Alligator mississippiensis: one gene and its partner. The protein of the gene in region 2 purifies or fractionates together with the protein of the main gene of each other region. This does not show direct contact. Links are inferred from orthologs where the notes say so. Each region holds a gene or a part of one and is shown on either strand. Other genes may lie near its edges. The genes, in order: FGFR2 and RPS6KA3.

Region 1 (9,967 bases), on a different chromosome or scaffold from region 2:
TTAACTCCTCAGATTTTGCAGCACCCTTCAAAAGATTTTGCAGAACCCCAGAGTAGCCTGGCACCCTGGTTTATAATCACTGCTTTATATTAAAGAACAAGGTCCCTTTCCTAGGACTAATCTAGAAAACAAAATATTGCTTTTTGACATTTCCACTTCACAAATGAGCAAGCCACATAATATCTCATGCATAATGGCTGCTGACAGAGATGACAAAAAAGTGCTTTACCAGAAGAGGCAGCACATCAGTTCAACCTGGCTCCACAGCATCTGTATAGATCATATACTTCATGAGGACTTTTTGACACTTTTATCTAATAGCTGATTCAATCAGCTATTAGATAGAAATGCCAAAAAAGCTCCACTGAAGTACCTGATTTATACAGATGTTGGGTGAGCTGGGTTCAACTAATGTGACACCTCTTCTGGGCATGAACTGGGCTTGGCTTGGGGGTGCGCTGAATTTAAAGTGCGATTTTTTTGAGGGTGGGGGTGGTTTAAGTGTGTAAGCAGCCAACATGACTAAAGTAGACTCATGGCTTAAGTAGAGGAGAACAAGTTTAAGGGTTAATCAGACTTGCTTGTAGAAGTAATAAACTTCTGTATCATAGAGTTTGTATCACAGGAAATGCTAGAACCATCACAGATTACCAGAAAGCAGTTTCTTATCTATCAGCTAATTCCAGAGCATTAAAACAAGAGTCATCATTCATATACAACCCAATTAAATTTGACAATTCACAGCTAGTGTATACATTCACTCACCACTGTCATTAATAAGAGAGGAAAAAAAAGTAAACGGACATTTTAAACAGGGGTTTCATGTGTCTTCATATTTTCCCTGTAGAAACACCCAACAGTGTACATGAAGCTGGTCATGACAACTGTATGAGAAAAACCAACAGAAAGTGGAGTGTTTGTCCTAAGAGGTAATAAGATGACTGATTAGATACACACAGAGGAAGAATCATGATTTTCACTTTAGAGTCTAAAGAATTATACTTCTATGGGCATGGGCGACTGGTGCCTCCTGAGTCTGGGGGGCACCAGATCACCGATGAGGGGGGTGTCTCCCATGGCCAATTGCCGACCCCCAGCAGCCGACTCTGAACCAGGAGCAGGGGTGGCCCCCCAGCAGCCAATTGCCAAGCCAGCAGCAAAACTGGAAGTGAACTTCTGCTGGCACTTCCGGTTTTGTGGCTGGTGCTTCCAGGGAGTGCACGGCTGATCTCAGGGGGTGCACATGCACACACATGCACCCCTTTGCATTGCCACTGTTTATAGGAAGAAAAAAATACATATAACAATCAGGCCTTTTCTGTCAAAAATTTCCCTCCCCACATAATTGTAACCTAACAATGCTGTAAGCCACCTGGGCACAAAACAGGTTTCCAGACATTCAGTAACATACTGTGTTTTTCAACTCTGTTCTTTCCAACCATCAAGTTGCTCATGGCTCCAAGGACTATTCTGGTGTTTAGCACTTGGTGGAGTGTAAAAATACTGCAGCCAAAGTCTACATTACAGCAGCTATAGTGACTTTCAGAAAGTGTATGTATATACTACATGACACAGAAAGTCAAGGAAGTCAAAAAAACCTCATGCCCTAAATAACTTGCAGAAACTAGCATTAAATCGTTTTGCATTCCTCTGAATCTTAAACACATGGACAAATTTTGCAATAGGAAAATATGTTCACAGTTAAGATGCCTTCCATGACTACAAACATTTTCTGCAGGAGGATGAACAGAATGGAGTTCTGAAGTATATTGGACTATGCTACTTTATCCAGGACATATCCTAGTGACCTACTGTCCACCATGATACCTTACTAAGATCCAACCTGGGATCCAACCTCCTATATGAGAAAGATGGAAGAAAAGGGTGACAGAAAGCTTTAGAGGAGTTTGTGGTGTATTCCTTCTAAGTGAGGAACATTTAAGTTCACAGAGAGGCAATTAGGGAAAATGGGAAGGGGGAAGGGGTGATCACAAACACTACAAATTGGGAAATCTATTTTCACCACAAGTATACCGTATTTATTTGCCCATTTCTTCATGTAAGAGGTTTAACTAAACCATAAGTGAAAGATTCAAGCCATCATGGAAAGTGATACTTCACTATAACATCTTAAACCTAGTATTTTAATGGATTTTTCAGGCCAGAAGTTTCAATTCAGTCATCTAATTTGACCTCCTGCATAACACAACCCAAAAAACTTCTTCCAGTAGCTGCCACCTCAACTAACTTCTGGTCAAGCTGTCTCTTTCAGAAAAATGTTAAATCTAGATTTAACACTTTAAGCAACAGAGAATCCTTCCCCTCCCTATATAAACTGTTCCAGTAGTCAATTATCCTAACAGGAATATGAACCTTATTCCTCATTCCTACTCCAATTTTATTCCAAATTCCTATTCTAAGTTTGACCAACTTTAGTTTTCTTATGTCTTTTCAATGCTACTGAGCCATTTACTATCACAAGTCTCTTTCCTGTGTAGGTACCTTTTAGACCACAATCAAAGTACTTTGTCAAAGGGCTGGTCTGCACAGAAACATGTGACATAGTCTGATGTCCACTAAGGGTGTCCTCAAAGAGTTAGTTCAATGTATCCTGTGCACTGTAGATTCATACCATAGCTTACTGTACCCAAGTTTCCTTACATAGGCAGCTTTTAGACAAACTCAACAAATTGAGCTTCTTTAGTTGTCACTGTAAGGCAGGTTTCCCAGGACCCAGATCACTGTGGTAACTCTTTACTGAAACCTTTCCAATTTGCCAATACTCTTTTTAAAATGAAACCACACTTGGACAGGTTTCTGGCAGCTGTCTCACTGATGTCATGTACAGCAGTACTATCACTTTCCTACTTCTGCCTCCCCATGTTTTATCTCCAAAAAGTGTTTTAGCTCTCTCAGGCACCAGATTGTAACTGCAGCTGGTTGTCTACCATGACTCTATGTTCCAGTCGGAGTTGCTGCTTTTTGAAATACCATCTCCCCTCCTGTTTGTATGACTTTAACACCCAGGAGCAAATAATATAATTATGCCTCTAACTCCATCTATACATGTATGAGTGAAATACCTCAGCAACACTTTTTTTTAAACTAAATTGTCCAGTACCCTTATAAGGAAGAAAAGTATTATTCTCATCCTGAAGTTAAGGAAACAAACACAGGGTTATGGCTTGTCCAAGGCCACCCAGCAAATGTAAGACGGCTTCAGAAATAAACCAAAGTAGTTCCCGGCTTCCAGTACAGTGCTCAACCCAGTGCTGTTACTAAAGGATTTGTCCATCTGGAACTTGCACAGAAAAACAATATCAAACCCACATTTTCCTTGCATTTCCCACTGCTCAGCTAATAAAATAAAACACATAGCATAAAGTATGATTAAATCAAAATGCTAAGGCAAAACACTGTGGCACGAGATATACATGCAAGCAGCTGTTTTCACCATGAGCATAACATACAAACTGATGTACGGTATGCAGTTATGAATCGGCAGGAAAATGTGCTACAAAGATGCTGTTCCTATGATTGTCTATACATTGCAGTACAGAGGACGTCTATTGCGTTTGGCAGAGAAAATTTCCAAATAAAGTGTACGGTACCTGATTGCTTTTTTCCATTCGATATGCGAAGGCTAAAGGAATGCAACACACCAAGGCAGGCAAAGCATGGCTTCAATAGGTGTGTCTAGGTGTCTCTTGCATGTTGCAGCTTGACAGTTCTCTCCTATTGTGTGGGTGGCATTCATACAAAGAGGCTGACTTGTAACTCAGAAATGATATCACAATGCAAAGTTAACTCACTGAGTGCCTTAAGATGAACTGTACACCACAGAGTAATGCTCTGCAAAACAATACTTTCAAGCCATCTCCCTGTATATATTGCAGCAATCGAATTTACAACAATGTTTACTGATTAACATATGAAAAGCCCCCAGATTCTCGGGTGAAGGGTAGGGAGAGGCCTCTGGATTTCTGCAAGGAAAGAGGTAGTTGATTTTTGAGGGTTAGATCTTGGCTACAGTGGGGGTTAAGGTATGGCCATCTGCATAGCCATACTAATGGGCTCAAGGACAGATATGATCTGCATCCCCAGAATTAACCTCTCCTTGAAACCAGGATAAGGTTTACTGATGAAAGCAGAATCTTTACTTGGAGTATATACCAGTGTACATATACCGTATTGTAAATTGTACATACCTTGGATTGTTATTATTGCATGCTGCAACTAGAAGTTGACCCCAAGTTAAGCAAGGTCTTGCTGCTGCAATCCTTTTGTTTTAAACCAAGAAGGACAATGGATATGTTCGGTTGTAAGCGCCCCAGTTACATATTGATTTTTATATAATCAACATTCTTGACAAAGCTGCATTTTGTTTTCATGCTCTGCTCTTTATTATCAAACAATATAAAAAAGTAAACATGTTTTGGCTCTCTCCAAGGGAGCTACGACTTCAAAATTTCCACATTTTCTGGTCCATGTTATTTAAAAAAGATGTGCGTCTTGGCCCAGCACTGTGACGAATGAAAGACTGAGACACATTTATAGAGGGAAAAAGAGACAGAACTGAGAGATCCAGCAGCTCTGAGAATTAGTAGAGATGCTGGGTGAGATGCTTTGTTGCACTTCTAAGAATTCACGGCCGGTGGAAAAGGGTTGTTCCAGGCACGTTCCAGTGGGTAGGAGAGGTCCTTGGCATACTTTGCACCCCCCACAGGCATTTATCTATATTACAGGAGCCACTACAAGCACTACTCAGAACCAGAACCATGCTGCATACTGCAGCCCCAGCTTGAACATACATTTCTGTCTCCAGTGTGTTTCCCTCTATCTTGCCAGCCCAGCATGTGAAAAAGTCCTCTAAGAGCAGCCTTAATTAAGGGTGTCTTTCATAGTGCCTACACTGAGACAAATCCTCACCGCAACTAAAATCTTGGCTGTTAGGGCCACTTTGTATAACTTTAGACCCTTTAATATGACAAAGTGTTTAAAGTGGAGCAGAGGATCTCACCCACTGAGCTTTTCCTCTCTCAGTCATTTTGAATCCAGCCCAGGATCAATAATCACAAACCATTGTTACTTTCCAAGCCATTCCTGCTGAGTAGCTTATGTCATGAAATAAAGTGGCACTTCCACTCCAGATCCCAGTGGACAGACGGTCAACAAGAGAAGACAAATCTGGGTAATACTCCCCAGTGACAGGTGGTCAATGTGATGTGGCTGAGAAAAAGAGGCAATAGAAGATGTATCAAATGGTGGATTTTCAGCAGAAACAAAGACCTATTAATGCCAAGGCACTGATGGGGCCTCATCTAGACTGCCATGTGTGATTTTGGGTACTCGTGTTCAGGAAAATAAACTCAAGCTGGGACAGGTGCAGAGAAGGGTTCCTAGGATGCTGGGGCTTAAGGAGAATCTGCCATATGAGGGGAAAACAAAAGTGCCTGCCTTGTTCATCTTAGCAAAATGAGAACTGTAAAGGGATACAACTGTTTTCTGTTACTACATCGGGGATAAGGACTACACAGTCAGAATAAATGGACTAGGACTAAATTTAGCTGGAGACCAGAAGAAGGTTTCAAACCATTAGAGAAGAAGGTTTCAGACTGAAAGAGCCTGCCAGTATGAGGTGTGGAAACAAGATATCCATCCAGTTTTAGAGATGTACAAAAGGAACTGCATGGCGTAGTTTGCCTGTGATAGCAGGACTGGACTTGGACTCAGAGGAACTTTTCCTGTTATCTCTTCCTGTGAATGAATAGGCATGAAAACCAAACTGTGGCCATCTCCGCTCCTTTGCAGAACAGTCTTCTGGACAGGACCTGGTACTTTGGTAATGTCAGGAAGTATAGCATACACCTTGCCCTGATGGACCTGCTCCATAAATAAACAGAGGAGTTCAATTGCCAGCAGGTAATACAGACACACACACGCACATCTATATCTATATCTATATCTAGTGTTATATATAATGGATGTCTGTTTGAGAAAACAAGAATCCAAAGGGTTAAGCCAAGGAATAAGGAAAGTTAGAATTAATCAATTTCTAAGCAAATTATTAAAATATTATTATGGATACATTATTAATCCTATATCTGGTAAGATGTTTCCAGCAAAACCTCTGCTAGAAATAGAGATATTTTGATGCTTTTATTGCTGCTGTAGCCCATCCAAGATGATGTGTTTGATTCAAGAGTCACAAAAACATATTCTTGTTAAAAATGCTGCCAAAAAAACTAAATGAAAACAGTACACTGTTGAATCCCCATGTTTGCAACATTACCGGGTCTTTTTTTTTTTTTTCCTCCAATCGTGTTTATATAGACTAAGTTTCATTTAACAAGGCAAAAGTTGGAGCTCTCACATACTACATTATGTCTCTGCAGGTCCTCCTAACTAGGGTTAAGTCTTTACACCACTTCCAAGAGAAGCAGCCAAGAAAAAGAAGAAATAAATGCTACTACTACTGAGTACAGAGGCCTCCTTTTCAAGAAATGTGATTTATGGAATGAAGTTCCTGGCATGTCTGCCATGGGCTGTCACAACGTGTGTTTAAAATCCAAGTCTGAAATATGATCCCTGTTCCTTCCAAAATGCATTGTGGCTTCTAGCAAGTTCTTTTGAAAATCCTAAGCAATCGTTTTCTCGGGAGTCTGTATTCTTTATGCTCATTGCCTTGTGAAGGGCATATTAATCCAATCTTTGCTTTTTGAATGCTACTCGGGACATTTCCAGAGAAAGGGTGTTATCCCTTATAATTTCATGTGAGTTTAGTGCTTGCAAAGACTGCTTTCCTGAAAGCCCCAAAGACTGAACGTCTTTTCTTGTTGTCCAGAGGACTGAAAAAACTTTGACCAGTGCACAGCAAACCTCTCCATCCTGCCCCACCAGCCACACTCAGACCAGACACAGGGGGCACCCTCTACATGTCTTACCCTCCATTTTCAATCACTCCTGAGCTTTTCAGCTGCCTGCTGTTGCGTATTACACATCTGTCAACTGAAAATTGGCCTGAGACCAAAGTCAGGTTATGTAAACTGCAAATATCTGTCAGACGATAACAACTTCACTAGATAATCACTAGATAAGTGATTCTCAAACTGGGCAACAAGAAAAACTTTGAGAGGGAACATGTGAGGAAGAAATGGGAAAGCAAAGAGGGGAAAGAGAAAATAAATGAAGGACAAGGGAGGGGGCAGGAAAAAAAAATCAATTCTACAATATCTCTCATGTTGCTCTTATGTTACAGTGTGGTTATTATAGTGACATAAAATGTTATGTCATCTTATTATTATTATTATTATTATTATTATTATTATCCATAGCATGGAATTGGGGGCATGTAGAACAAACTTAAAAAAAAAGGGGGTATGTGACTAAAAAATTTGAGAATCATTAACTTAGTACCACTTTTGGGAACCATCAAACTATCCTCTCTCTTTTATTAGGAGCATTTTTTTTTTTAAATAATCTCAACCTTTTCCACAATACATTTCAAATCCAAAACATAATTTATTTTTCACAACCTTCCACTCCATGGATATTTTCAGAAACTCGTGTCTAGTATTTGTGAGATGCTGGAAGTTGCAGAGGCTCATTATATACTTTGTACTACAGCAACATCCAGAGACTCCATCAGGATCATGTCCCTCTTATTCTACACTCTACAAGCCACAGAAAGATGGCTCTGAAGAGTTCATGTCATTTTTTGGCTGATTTCCCGTGGATGATGCAACATAAGCTATCTCAATTTTGGACTGAAGGAGGACAAGAACAGTGGTTTTGTGAATTAGTTGAAGGAGGATGTCGTGGAAGGAAATACAAAGACACTTGTGGAACATGAATACATTTATTTTCTGACTTAAACTCCAGCATCTTATTCATAAGTAGCAGCACACTTAGGAGATCTGACTCAAGTGTAGAATCAGATGAAGGGGTATTTTCTAAGATGAATAATTAATTGAAATAATAATTCTGAAAAATGCAAAAGTATGTACAGCTTTAGACAAACCAAGGAGAAAAGGTGACCAAGGGGTTTCTATTTATTCAGTAGGTTTTGGACCTGGCTTCATTTAAACCACAAAACCATTTTGAAACTCATGCTATTCTTCATTCTTCTCTTCCCTTTTTTACAGTAGGCATTTTTCCCACAAATATCTTAAAGAGCATATACACCATGATCCAGCTCCCAATGAGATCAGTGGGAATTTTGCCACCATCTTCACTGTGGGTCTGATCCTATTCCCATTATATTGGCTTGTCCAATGGTAATCGAAGACAGAGTATTATTGTTTGCCCTCAGTGCCCACAACAGGTGAGAAATATTCCAAACACAAAGATCCCACTTTGTGTCCCCAAAATCTCCACAGATCCTGGAAAAAAAATACTTTAAATGAATGCACTCAAAGGAACTGTTACAACTGTTCTTTATTAAAGATTATCCCACATGAGGCTCTGCTGACTATAATTGTGGATGAAATCCTGGTTCTGTCCAAGTTAACAGGAGTTTTGCAATTAACTTTTTTTGGTGACATATTGTTACCTTGTGCCTTCAGTGTTAATGTCTCTGGCTTTTTATTAAAAAGTGTTCTGATAGTGAGCCAAGGCATAGTGAAGGTCATTCATGGCACTACCATCCCACACACTTATCTTCAGGTTTTTTGGAAAATTTTCTGAATCAAAACCAAACAGAAAAAAACAATATAGAGCAGTGCTTTTCAAGCTGTAGTGTGTGGACCCCTGATGGTCTGCAGACTATGTATAAGTGGTTCATGAAAGATAACTATGATCAATCAAAAGTATGTGAATACCCAAATTTACAATTCAAATGGGTCTACACCTCCATTCAAAAGTTTTTAGGGGTCTGCAAATGAAGCAAGCTCAAAAAACACTCTTATAGAGGAATGGATACATATGGCCTGTATGACATAACTAATAGGGCTGTGCAAAGCTTCGGTCCCTGATTCGATTTGTTGGAGATTCGGCCCAATTCAGTGGCTGAATCTCCAAATCCAAATCAAATCAGGAGACCCTTTAAACTCTCTGAATCAAATCATAGTTTCATAGTAGGCAGGGTCAGAAGGGACCTGAACAGATCATCAAGTCCGACCCCCTGCCCTGAGCAGGAAAGAGTGCTGGGGTCAAACGACCCCGGCTAGGTGATTATCTAGCCTCCTTTTGAAGGCCCCCAGGGTAGGAGCGAGCAGCACTTCCCTTGGAAGTTGGTTCCAGATCCTAGCCACCCTGACTATGAAGTAGTGCCTCCTGATGTAGTAGTGCCTGCATCTATCCTCAGTCAACTTATGGCCACTGGCCGTCAATTCGGAGAGATTCAGAAAGATTCAGCAATTCGGATATAGACACAGCTTTAAAGGTTTTTTCTGCATACCTCAAGATACCAGGTATGTACACAACATTTAAAGCTGTATCTATGGCCGAATCGCCAGTTCTCCGAATCAGCATCAAATCTTCAGATTCAGATTCAGCCTAATCGAATTGGGATCAGTGATTTGAATCAATGAATTGAATCACTGTCCCTGATTCAGGCCAAATCTGAATCAAATATGACCCATTTTGCGCACCCCTAATAACTAATATAGCTTGTTTATCTCTGTTTATGAAAGATTTCTAAACTAATTGTTAAGATTGAATATTTAATTACTAGCAGTGACTTGATTTACTTAAATAAATCTGCAGTTTCTTCCAAACATCAAACCAGTACATAGTCATGGGCGACTAGTGTGGCCTTAGTTGGGGGGAGGGGGGCACGTGCCTCCCGAGCGACCAGTCAGCAACTGAGGGGATCCCCCTGTGGCCAATCCCACTGACTGGGGGGGGTTCCCCCCCCAGACGATCATGAGATGGCTGATCATTGTGGCTGCTTCCGGGAACACAATGGTGCTCCACTTCCCAGCTGGCACTTGCAGAGGGGACACCAGCGCTCCCACCTGCCCCTGCT
Region 2 (9,361 bases):
CAGATTACTGATGTATAATATACAGAAAATTATTATAATAAAGTGAAGCGAACCACACTAAAAGAAGTTTCATTTGACATAAATCTGTATGCAAGAAGCAAACTCCACAAATATCACATGGGAACAAACTTCTAGAGCTATGGTAAATGTACTGACAACAGTGTTTTGAAAACCCTTAGTATCATACCCAGCTGGTAAAGTATTGAATAACCTTCAAAGTTAACAGACACATTTCATTTAGACAATTCTACTGATATTTTCTGTCCTTTCCCCTGCTTTAAGTTGTGTTGCAGATGTGATGTCTGTTCCTTCAGCTTATTCCCCAGAAGTACACCATATGCAAAATAAGTTCAGAGGTAATTACACCCAGAACATGACTACTTCAGATGGCAATCCTGTCATCAATCCCAGACCCAATCCTGTCAGTGCATTGAATCAACCTTGCTTTCAGCACGACCAAATTTCAAGTTAAAGACACGCACAAATATTAGCAAGACAGAGCCATAAGCACCAGAACCACACCATACCAGGTACATCTTTAACATAACAATGCTATGACTGTTCCTCTTCATCTCAGTTGCTTTAGTATTCATAACCTCAGTGACACACACAGCTAGACACACAAACCCATATTTAAACCCCTGATGTTGGCTAGTAAAGACCAATGCTAGAAGCATAATGTTTCTGAAAAAATAAGGTTTCTAAAATATGAACTTACATGCCTATAGTTATATGCCAATATTTGAAGTTTTTTACCACTTTGCCTATTTCACACATGCAGCATCTGCACTATAAACCCTGCTTTTTAAGACAGATACCAGTTAAGGAACTTGAGGCAAAACCTAAGGTGATGTCAATTATCACAGCTTTGAAGGCTAATGGGACTATACTGATTTGCAACAATGGAGAACATTTAGTATACCAAATTATTTCTAATAGCGCTTCTTTAAAAATTGCTACCCCAGAATTTCATATCATATAGCCGCCAAGACCATAAACAAGATCAGTGCGCCCTGCTTTATTACTTGCTGTAGAAAAAAAATCAACCTAGGAGTTCATCTTTGATACTGTATAAATTTATGCTTGTATTGCAAGCTTTTTCAGTTGTATATATTTCCTCTTAGAAGAAGAACCACTATCCACAGTAATGGTATAATTTAAAGCAAGAGAAAGGTCTGCTATTACTAATTCATTGGAACAGCACCTTGGCCTGCATGAATCAGTTTATACCGCAGGGACCTCTATCAGTACAAATGTCCAGACCTGAATACTTTAGGACTTAGTGCATCTCTATGAAATAGTAAGTTTATTGAGACATCAGTGGTGTTTTACAAAAGTTGTTAATGAGAGAGTTCATGTACCTCTACAGAGGCCAAATCATAATGTTGCTCCACAGGGGCCAAAAATCTACCACAAGTTTGTAGAGGCATACAGCTCAGGCAGGATCAAAAATTCATGGACAATAAATCTATTAATAGCTGTTAAACAGAGCAGTCAGAGATGGATCCTCTGGCATCTCTAAACCAAGGATGGTGGATGCTAGGGAGTGTGATGAATAGGGCATGGATCACTCTAGATATGCCCAGTTCATTCTTCCTCTAAAGCAGCATTACTCAAAAGGGGTCACAAGAATATATGAAAGGGTCATGAACAAACTTTAAAAATTATTTTCCTTTAAAGGAGAAAAGTGTGAATAATGGTGGCATTCCCCTTGCAGGCTGCCAGAGTTATAGCCTGCAAAGGGCTGCTTGGGGCCCCCACCCCACCCCCTTGCCCCACACACTGGGGGGCTGGGGCTAGTGGGTCAGGAGTGAGAAGCACTAGGTCGGGACAGGCCATTGATATTTACAAATGGGTCCTGGTACAACAAAAAAAAGGTTGAAAACCGCTGCTCTAAAGGAGTGGCTCCCAACCCTGCTACACTTGAGGCAACCCTCATAGCTTCAAGAATTTTGCAGCACACCATTTCAAAAACTAGTGTATTTATTACAGTGTTTATGTCCTTGCAGCAGGGCCATGCAATCGAGGTGGGGGGAACAGCCACGCAGGGAGGGCCTCAGCCTGCCCTTACCTGCTTATCTTCCTATACTTCCTGTGGCACCTGGGGTTGACAACTACTGCTCTAAGGCATCAGCTTTTGCCAGTGTTGGAGACAGGCTAGTGGCCTAGTATGGCACTTCTTATGTTTTTCACGTAGAAGCCTTGACCATGGCTCTGATGCTGCAATTAGAAGTGCACAGTGCCCCTGATAAAGGTTAATTTGTGGGAACTGAAAACATGGAGTAAGTATTTAGGTCACTGGTTGAGGTCCTTGATTAACCTGAGCATTTGGAAAATCAATCAATCAATCAATCAAGTCAAGAAACAGCAGGATATACTGAATTCAAGGAATTGTTACAGGCATTTTCTATTAAAAAAAGAGAAGAATGTCAAATCTTTAAAAACAGAGCATATTTTGAATTTAGGATTGAGGATGTGGGCAAGTTCTAGAAACAACTCTTACAAAAGGATACATTTGTACATATACACACACATGTATGTACGTATATACATACAAGTCTTGACAATTAATATAATATGAAATTACGGGGTAGCAATTTTAAAAGATGGAATACTAGAAATAAATTTAGTATACTAAATCTTCTCCATTGTTGCAAATCAGTATAGTCCCATTGGCCTTTAAAACTGATTTTATATACATGTACATATTACGTGTGTGTGTAGATATATAATGTATCCTTTTGTAAAAGTTTTATTACACACACACACACACACACACACACACACTTGGTTTAATAAAAGATATCAGATTCACCCAAAGAACCTTGTTCTCCTTTTGCAAGGTGCGTTTCTAAAATATGCCCACAAATTTCACATATATGCTAGAGGCAAACTGGTTTCCAGTCAAAAGGACCACCCTACACGAGGGAGATTAAAACGACTCTTCACCAACTCTAAGTCTTCACCAGACATAAAGAGCGGTTTCCCCAGCGCTCCCAGCAGTTACCTTTCAGCTGGAAAATTTTACCCCACTCCCGTGCGGGGAGAAAACACCCCGAGAGTGACAGACAGGTACTTTAAACTAGGCTTGAGAAACGGGAACAGCAGATCCGCCTGCCAGCCAACGAAGCCGTCTCCTCTGAAGTAACCCAAGGACAGCGGCGAGCCGGGGGAGAAACCTCTCCCCAGCCTCCCGAGCCGGAAGGGCTTGGAGCGCCGCCAAGTCTGGGCGCGAGGCAGAATAGGGGCACCTCCAGCGCCGCCCGGCCCCGGCCCCGGCCCCAGCCCCAGCCCCGCGGCTTCACGTTACTAAGTCCGCGCGGCCCCACTCCCCACGGGCTGGCGGCAAGGGGCGCTCCCCCTCGTCCGGCGCGGGGGCCCGGCGGGAAGTGCGGGCGCAGGGTCAAGAGAAAGAGGAGGGGAGCGGGACACACACGGACACAAGGGGGGGGCGGTACCTCGGCTCCGCTCTCGGCCGCGCTCTCCACAGCCATCTTCTGCCAGGGGTCCGCCAGCTGCGCCAGCGGCATCTTCCCGCCCGCCCGCGCGCCCCGGCTCCCAACCGGCCGAGCACGAAGACACGGCAGGGGAGGAGCGGGCAAGACCGCGGGCTGCCCCGGCCCCGGCTGCGGGTCCCACTGCTACCGCCGCGTCCCGCTCCTGCCAGGCAGAGCCGCCCTCCCCCCGCACCGCTTCCGCTCCCGCTCCCGCTCCCGCTCACCAACATGGCGCCCGGGCCATACCTGCCCGTCAAACCGAGGCTGTGCACGTCAGCAGCGGGGCGGGGCTGTAGCGGCCAATCCGCGACGCCGGCAGGTAGCGGGGGGCGGAGTCAGTGGCGGGCAGTAGGGGGGCGGGGGGAGTTCCGTTCCTGCGTGGGCGGGGGTGGGGGGAGGGGCCCGGGGCGTCCTGTGGGGGCGGGGAGAGGCGTTGCTGGCTGTGTGCACACCGCTCGCGCAGGGTCCGAGTGTGTCCGGTTCCGCCCAGCCCCGCCTGGGGCGGTCCTTAAAGTCGCCTGGTAGTTGTTACTCCTAGTCAGTCCGGTTGGGCAAAAGACAGGCAGCCTGCCGGACGTTGCCTCTCCTCAAGTCATTTGTGGGCCATCAGAGTTGCCACTACCCTTAGGCTACTGTGACACCCCTCCAGCACTCCCCTTACACTATCATGACACCCCTCTAATGCTACCATGACACTACCATGACACCCCTCTGCCACCTCCCTTATGCTACCATCACACCCCTCCAACACTACCATGATGATACCATGACCCCCCTCCGACACCACCCTTAACACTACCGTGACACCCCTTGGAAGCTACCATGACACCCCTCTAACACCACACTTTCAGAGAAAAAAGCGTTAAAACTCCCAGCATTAGCGCAGCCTAAGCCTATGCTCAGAGGCATGTAGGTAGGGGGGCACAGACAGCAGCCTTGCCTTGTCCAAACGGAGCACTAGAGATATTTCCATTTGCTGACTGTGTTTCTTTCTCTGTGGCCCAATTTGCTGATGTGAGCCCACAACTGGGTGGAGTAGCCAGATCCATAAGGGGCACAGCTAGAGCCCCAGGTCAGCTGTGAACTTCTCTGCCTGCCGTCATTGTGGGGAGTGGATGTTTTTGGTCAGCCTTTGCAGGGAGCAAGTCAGTCAGACCCCTTGTGTTGCTTCTGAGTGACTGGTTCTTACCTCCACAAGATTTCCTCAGGAAAGCTAATGGCTCCTCTGCACAGTGAAGCTTACTGGGACTAAGGGAGGGCATAGGTTTGAAGTGAAGTAGCTCTTCCTGGTTAATTCCCTGTGTGGGTCCTCTTCTTTTCTGGAAAAGGCACCTCTATAAAGTAAGTCCATCAGGAATAGCTTCCTGTGTAAAAGACCCCTTTGGTGCCTGTAATCCTCCTCTTGGGCTAAAACACACAACTGGGTTGATTTGTATCAGAGTATTTTTGTGCCAGGTCAGATCCAAACATGATAGTCAACCAAACTCAATGTCCAGCATTAAGTGCCTGAGAAGTGTCCGAATTAGAACTTTGCCTGAGAACAATCGTGGCTAATTGCCATTGATTCCCATTTAAGCCTCCTGTGTAAATGACTGTCCCCAAGCCTGCTTTGATGTCAGTCATATCTCTGATGACTCAGCCCCTGATTAAATCAGTCCTGTGTTTCTAGGCTTTGCAAACTTTGTTCAGCACTTCTACTAACTGTGCTTTGGCTGACAGTAACAGACACATCTGTGATCATGTAGCACTTGTAGCCAATTCATACACCTTTGCTTACACATCTATGCTCTTCTGCACAACCAGTGCAGAAAATCCTAATATAGACAACCTAGAAATTCCTAGACTCTCCTTAGACAGCTTGCATACTCAGCCAAAGCTTAGGCAAATGTAAGAGGAAGAGACAAGAAGGGGTTTTTAAGAGAAGAGTCAAGTGAAAAATATTGTGCAGTTAGAGTAAAGGAAGGACTGGGAGGAAAAGATATCACTAGATAGAAGGAAATGGTGATTACTGATTAGGCAAATAAAGGGGAGGGAAATGAGAGTAATGACAAGTAATTTTTAAAAGAAAAAAATGCTTTGAACGACAATTTGATCAACAATATTACACTTTAACTAGTAGTTTATTTCCAGCAAGTTCAAGTTATTTAAAAGTCTTCCCAGATTTTCATAGGGTGTAGGGAATGGATGTCACACATGTTTTATCCCCTGACTATCAACTTCAGCTTAAAATAATCTTTGACTTTTAGCTGATTATGCGGCCTGATATGACCATACTGAGTATAATGTGCTTACACTTCTATTTGGTAGCATTTTTCAAATGCTTTGCCTTCACACACAAGTAAGTGACTATGGAAAGGTCTAAAGCAGACAAGAATTAGATTATTTTTGTTAACGAACAAAACCCTTATTTCTGCCTAGAACCCTGCTTTTAGAATAGGAAGAGACTGACTCTGGCCAACTATTGCTCTGAAGTACAGGATAAGGTAATGGAAAAGAGAAATAAATCACTAATGTTTGACAGTAATTAAGCTTAGGTACATCATGAGGAATGTTTCTTAGAAACTGACCAGAACACTAACAATCTCAAGCCTTCCTTTTTAAGGTTGGCTACTGGAACAGTGAGTAGACTGTTGAAATATAGAGTGATTGTAAATATCTTTGAAACACAAATAAATACTTCCCATCTCCAGGGTGAGATAACACCTGTATCTTCAAAAAGCGAGCAAACTCCTCCCTCCCTAGTTTTAAATGTATTATTGAAAGGCATTTCTTTTCCTATATACTGGAATAATTTGGTTTATTACAGCTACTTTATTTATACTGGTGTAAATATTTATTTATACTGGTGTAAATACTTTATTTATACTGGAAATCCACAGCCACACAGCAGAGAATTCCAACCCATGAGAGAAAAGTTAGCAGGAGCTACAGCTGCCACCTCAGCTCATATGTGGTGAAACCTAAAAAAAACCCAACCCCTCTTTCAGGCTGATCAACTAGCAAAGACTATCTTGCCATGTAGAGTTGACAGTCTCCTATACACTTTGGCATTTCCCCTCTTCCATTGGCATCTGGCCTAAACTGAGCTCACAATTTGAAGGAGGTCTGGGTAGGAGGAAGGAGAGGGAGGAGAGTAGCATGTCTAGTCAGTTGTGTCCTAAGACAGTGGTTTACCAACATGTTTACTTTTTTCTATGCTTTGTGAATCCAGAAGAAAAAAGACAAAGAACAGGATATCAAGTACTAATGGGTATAACAGCAATAAACAATACAGAACTATATATCATGCCTTGATTGTTTTCTCACAAGATCAGTGCAACAACAGCCATTTAAACCATCACCTTACCTCATTACTGTTGGTCCAGTTCTTGATGCAAAAATCTGCAACAGCATTGTATTCACACAGACCATTTTTATAAAGTATATTCAGTTGCCATTTCATTTGAACACATTTCTGTCCACCCATTCTTTGCAATTTTAAGGCAGAAAGTACAACTAACTACCACTATTTGCAAGTTTATGAGACTGAAATTACCTGCTGCAACAACAAACAAGAAGCAGAATGATGTAAGTCACATTCTCTACCTACCTCATCTCCCTCCCTTGTATAATTTAGGTACTTTATTTTGACATAGAGGCGTTCACAAGTATTATGTAGAAAATACCATGGAATGGAAATGGTAGTATTCTGGTACGGTTACCTTCATGTAAGAAACATTAATTGCAACGTGATGTAAAGTACCAAGTCTTCACCATTTTTGGTACTTCAGCCATAGTAAAGCTACAATGCCATCTTGCACTGAGGGTAGGCAGTGACTTGCTAGATGGCTCACTTGTCTATTTCTACTCTTGCAGATGAAGGAGTGGGACCTAACTGATGGTCAGTGACACAGAATACTGCAGTAAGGCAGTATTGACACTTTGGTGATGTTTAGTGCTACATCTGCTATGAATAGGGTGGTTTGTATTCTCATTTATAGTAATATTTTAAACAAAACCAATGAGCATAATAGTTACATATAAATTCAAGGAGGTCTTTGTTGGAAAACTCTAGCCGTACCTCCAAGGAGGAAGAGAGAGACTGGGATGAAATTATAGTTTCATTACAGTCAAAGGCAAAACTTCAGGTTATTGCACCCTGGTTAGAAGCCTGCCTCCACTGAGCATAGTGCTACATTTATAAAACACTTCTTGACTCTCTCACAAGGCTGTTAAAGAGAATATATTTTTGGGGGTTCCTGTGATAATATTTGGGAAAATACATTAAAAAATATAAATAGAAAAGTTCCTCCAGTATTTATAGAGTAATCACTCAAACTTACTTTTTTATAAAGCATATAGTACTACACTAGATGCAACTGTAGTTGCACTACAGTTCATACTCCATCATAACTTACAGCTTCGTAAGTGTAAGACAGGAAGAAGTAAATAAATTACAATACTAAATAAATTTCAGTTGTTCAGATATTGCAACTGGAGTGATGTATAGTGAATTCAAATATCTTTCAATGGTTTTTATTATCTCAGGCAAGAAACTCTTGATAGAATTTAAATGTACAGAAATTATCATTCCATAGTCTGTGGATGAAAGCTGGGAATAAATTTGTTTCTATGGGAAAAATGCTAAAAGGATTGAAGTGGAAGTTGACAATAGACTCTATTAGATTTACACTGTTTGGGGAAGTCTGTCTTACTCTCAGGACACCTTGATTCAATTCTTATGCACAGTTGTCCTTTGTGATATGAGGCAAGTCATTATTTTTTTTCTTAACCCAGTTTCTCATTTACATTAAAGCTGCTTTAGGCTGCTCTTAACAGTGTGTCTTGAAGTGAGAGTTAGAGGGATTTAAATTTATGCTGTCACAGCAGTTTTTAGGGGCCTTGGTGGAAATGAGAATTAGTCTCTCTTTGTGCCTCAGTTCTAAGGTGGATACAATGGGGATGATACTTCCCTGTCTCATAGGGATGTTGCAAGGTTATGGTTATTAACGTTTGGAAAGTTGTCAGAAACCTCAGCGATGAGGAGCAGCAAGCAGAATCTTGGTGCTGAAAGGCAGATCCTCAATTTGAAACCCATGACATTAAATTACAGCTGGGTGTATCCATCCCTGTATCTATTCACTCAGCTTTGAAAACAAGGTTATAGCTGCACTAAAATGACTCAGGTTTGAAATGAACATCACTTGTAACTGACAATATAAAAAGATGAAAGTATTTATACACTTCTGCTAAAGAATACTTGTACTGTTATACACCTCTTGACAGAATTGCATTGGAATGTGGGCAGATGTGCCTAGAGTAGGCTATATGGATATTTCTCTTTTTCTCTCATTCCCCTCTCCACTGAATTTCTTTTAATGGTTACTTTTCTATGAAATTCTGATTATGTTAATATATGAAAATGTGGTATGATAACTAGAAGGATACTCCTAAAGTATACCTATAATAAAAACATGGTGCCTGACTCACCACTGAGTTTTTCTAGTTTTTACTGATGTAAAGACATTAGATCACATGGACTTGTAAATGCTGGCACAGAACTGGAATGATTCATGATGGTTTGGGCCCCATGATATTTATTGGTTTGAAATTTTATCTGTGGTCAAGCAACTAGCAGGAAACATCCTGCCTGTGGTTTCTATATCCCAAATGGAAATATGCAGCTCAATAAAATATAGGCTCAGCACAGCATACCTGTCTCTAGCACATGTCTCCTTTCTGTACATGGGTAGGTCAAATGTGTATACCTAGTGGTGGAATTTATTTTCTCTCTTTAGTAAGTATTTAAGGAGAGTGCTAAGGAGAGTAATTTTAATATTGTTTTTGGTAACTTTGTTATGTGGGAACCTGTTGAAAACAAAGTA

The links.
Region 1: the proteins of RPS6KA3 (region 2) and FGFR2 purify together in Homo sapiens (affinity purification with mass spectrometry; 3 studies listed by BioGRID and IntAct, counting the BioPlex papers as one, with this or other methods). This does not show direct contact. The link is inferred for Alligator mississippiensis from reciprocal best matches to the Homo sapiens genes RPS6KA3 and FGFR2.

Annotation. Positions count from the first base shown.
Region 1 is NC_081829.1:85,690,200-85,700,166, reverse strand, and holds the start of FGFR2 (fibroblast growth factor receptor 2), read right to left. Parts: upstream 3,697-9,967; 5' UTR 3,612-3,696; intron 1-3,611. UniProt on the Homo sapiens protein: Tyrosine-protein kinase that acts as a cell-surface receptor for fibroblast growth factors and plays an essential role in the regulation of cell proliferation, differentiation, migration and apoptosis, and in the regulation of embryonic development.
Region 2 is NC_081824.1:318,754,385-318,763,745, reverse strand, and holds the start of RPS6KA3 (ribosomal protein S6 kinase alpha-3), read right to left. Parts: upstream 3,698-9,361; 5' UTR 3,531-3,697; coding exon 3,459-3,530; intron 1-3,458. UniProt on the Homo sapiens protein: Serine/threonine-protein kinase that acts downstream of ERK (MAPK1/ERK2 and MAPK3/ERK1) signaling and mediates mitogenic and stress-induced activation of the transcription factors CREB1, ETV1/ER81 and NR4A1/NUR77, regulates translation through RPS6 and EIF4B phosphorylation, and mediates cellular proliferation, survival, and differentiation by modulating mTOR signaling and repressing pro-apoptotic function of BAD and DAPK1.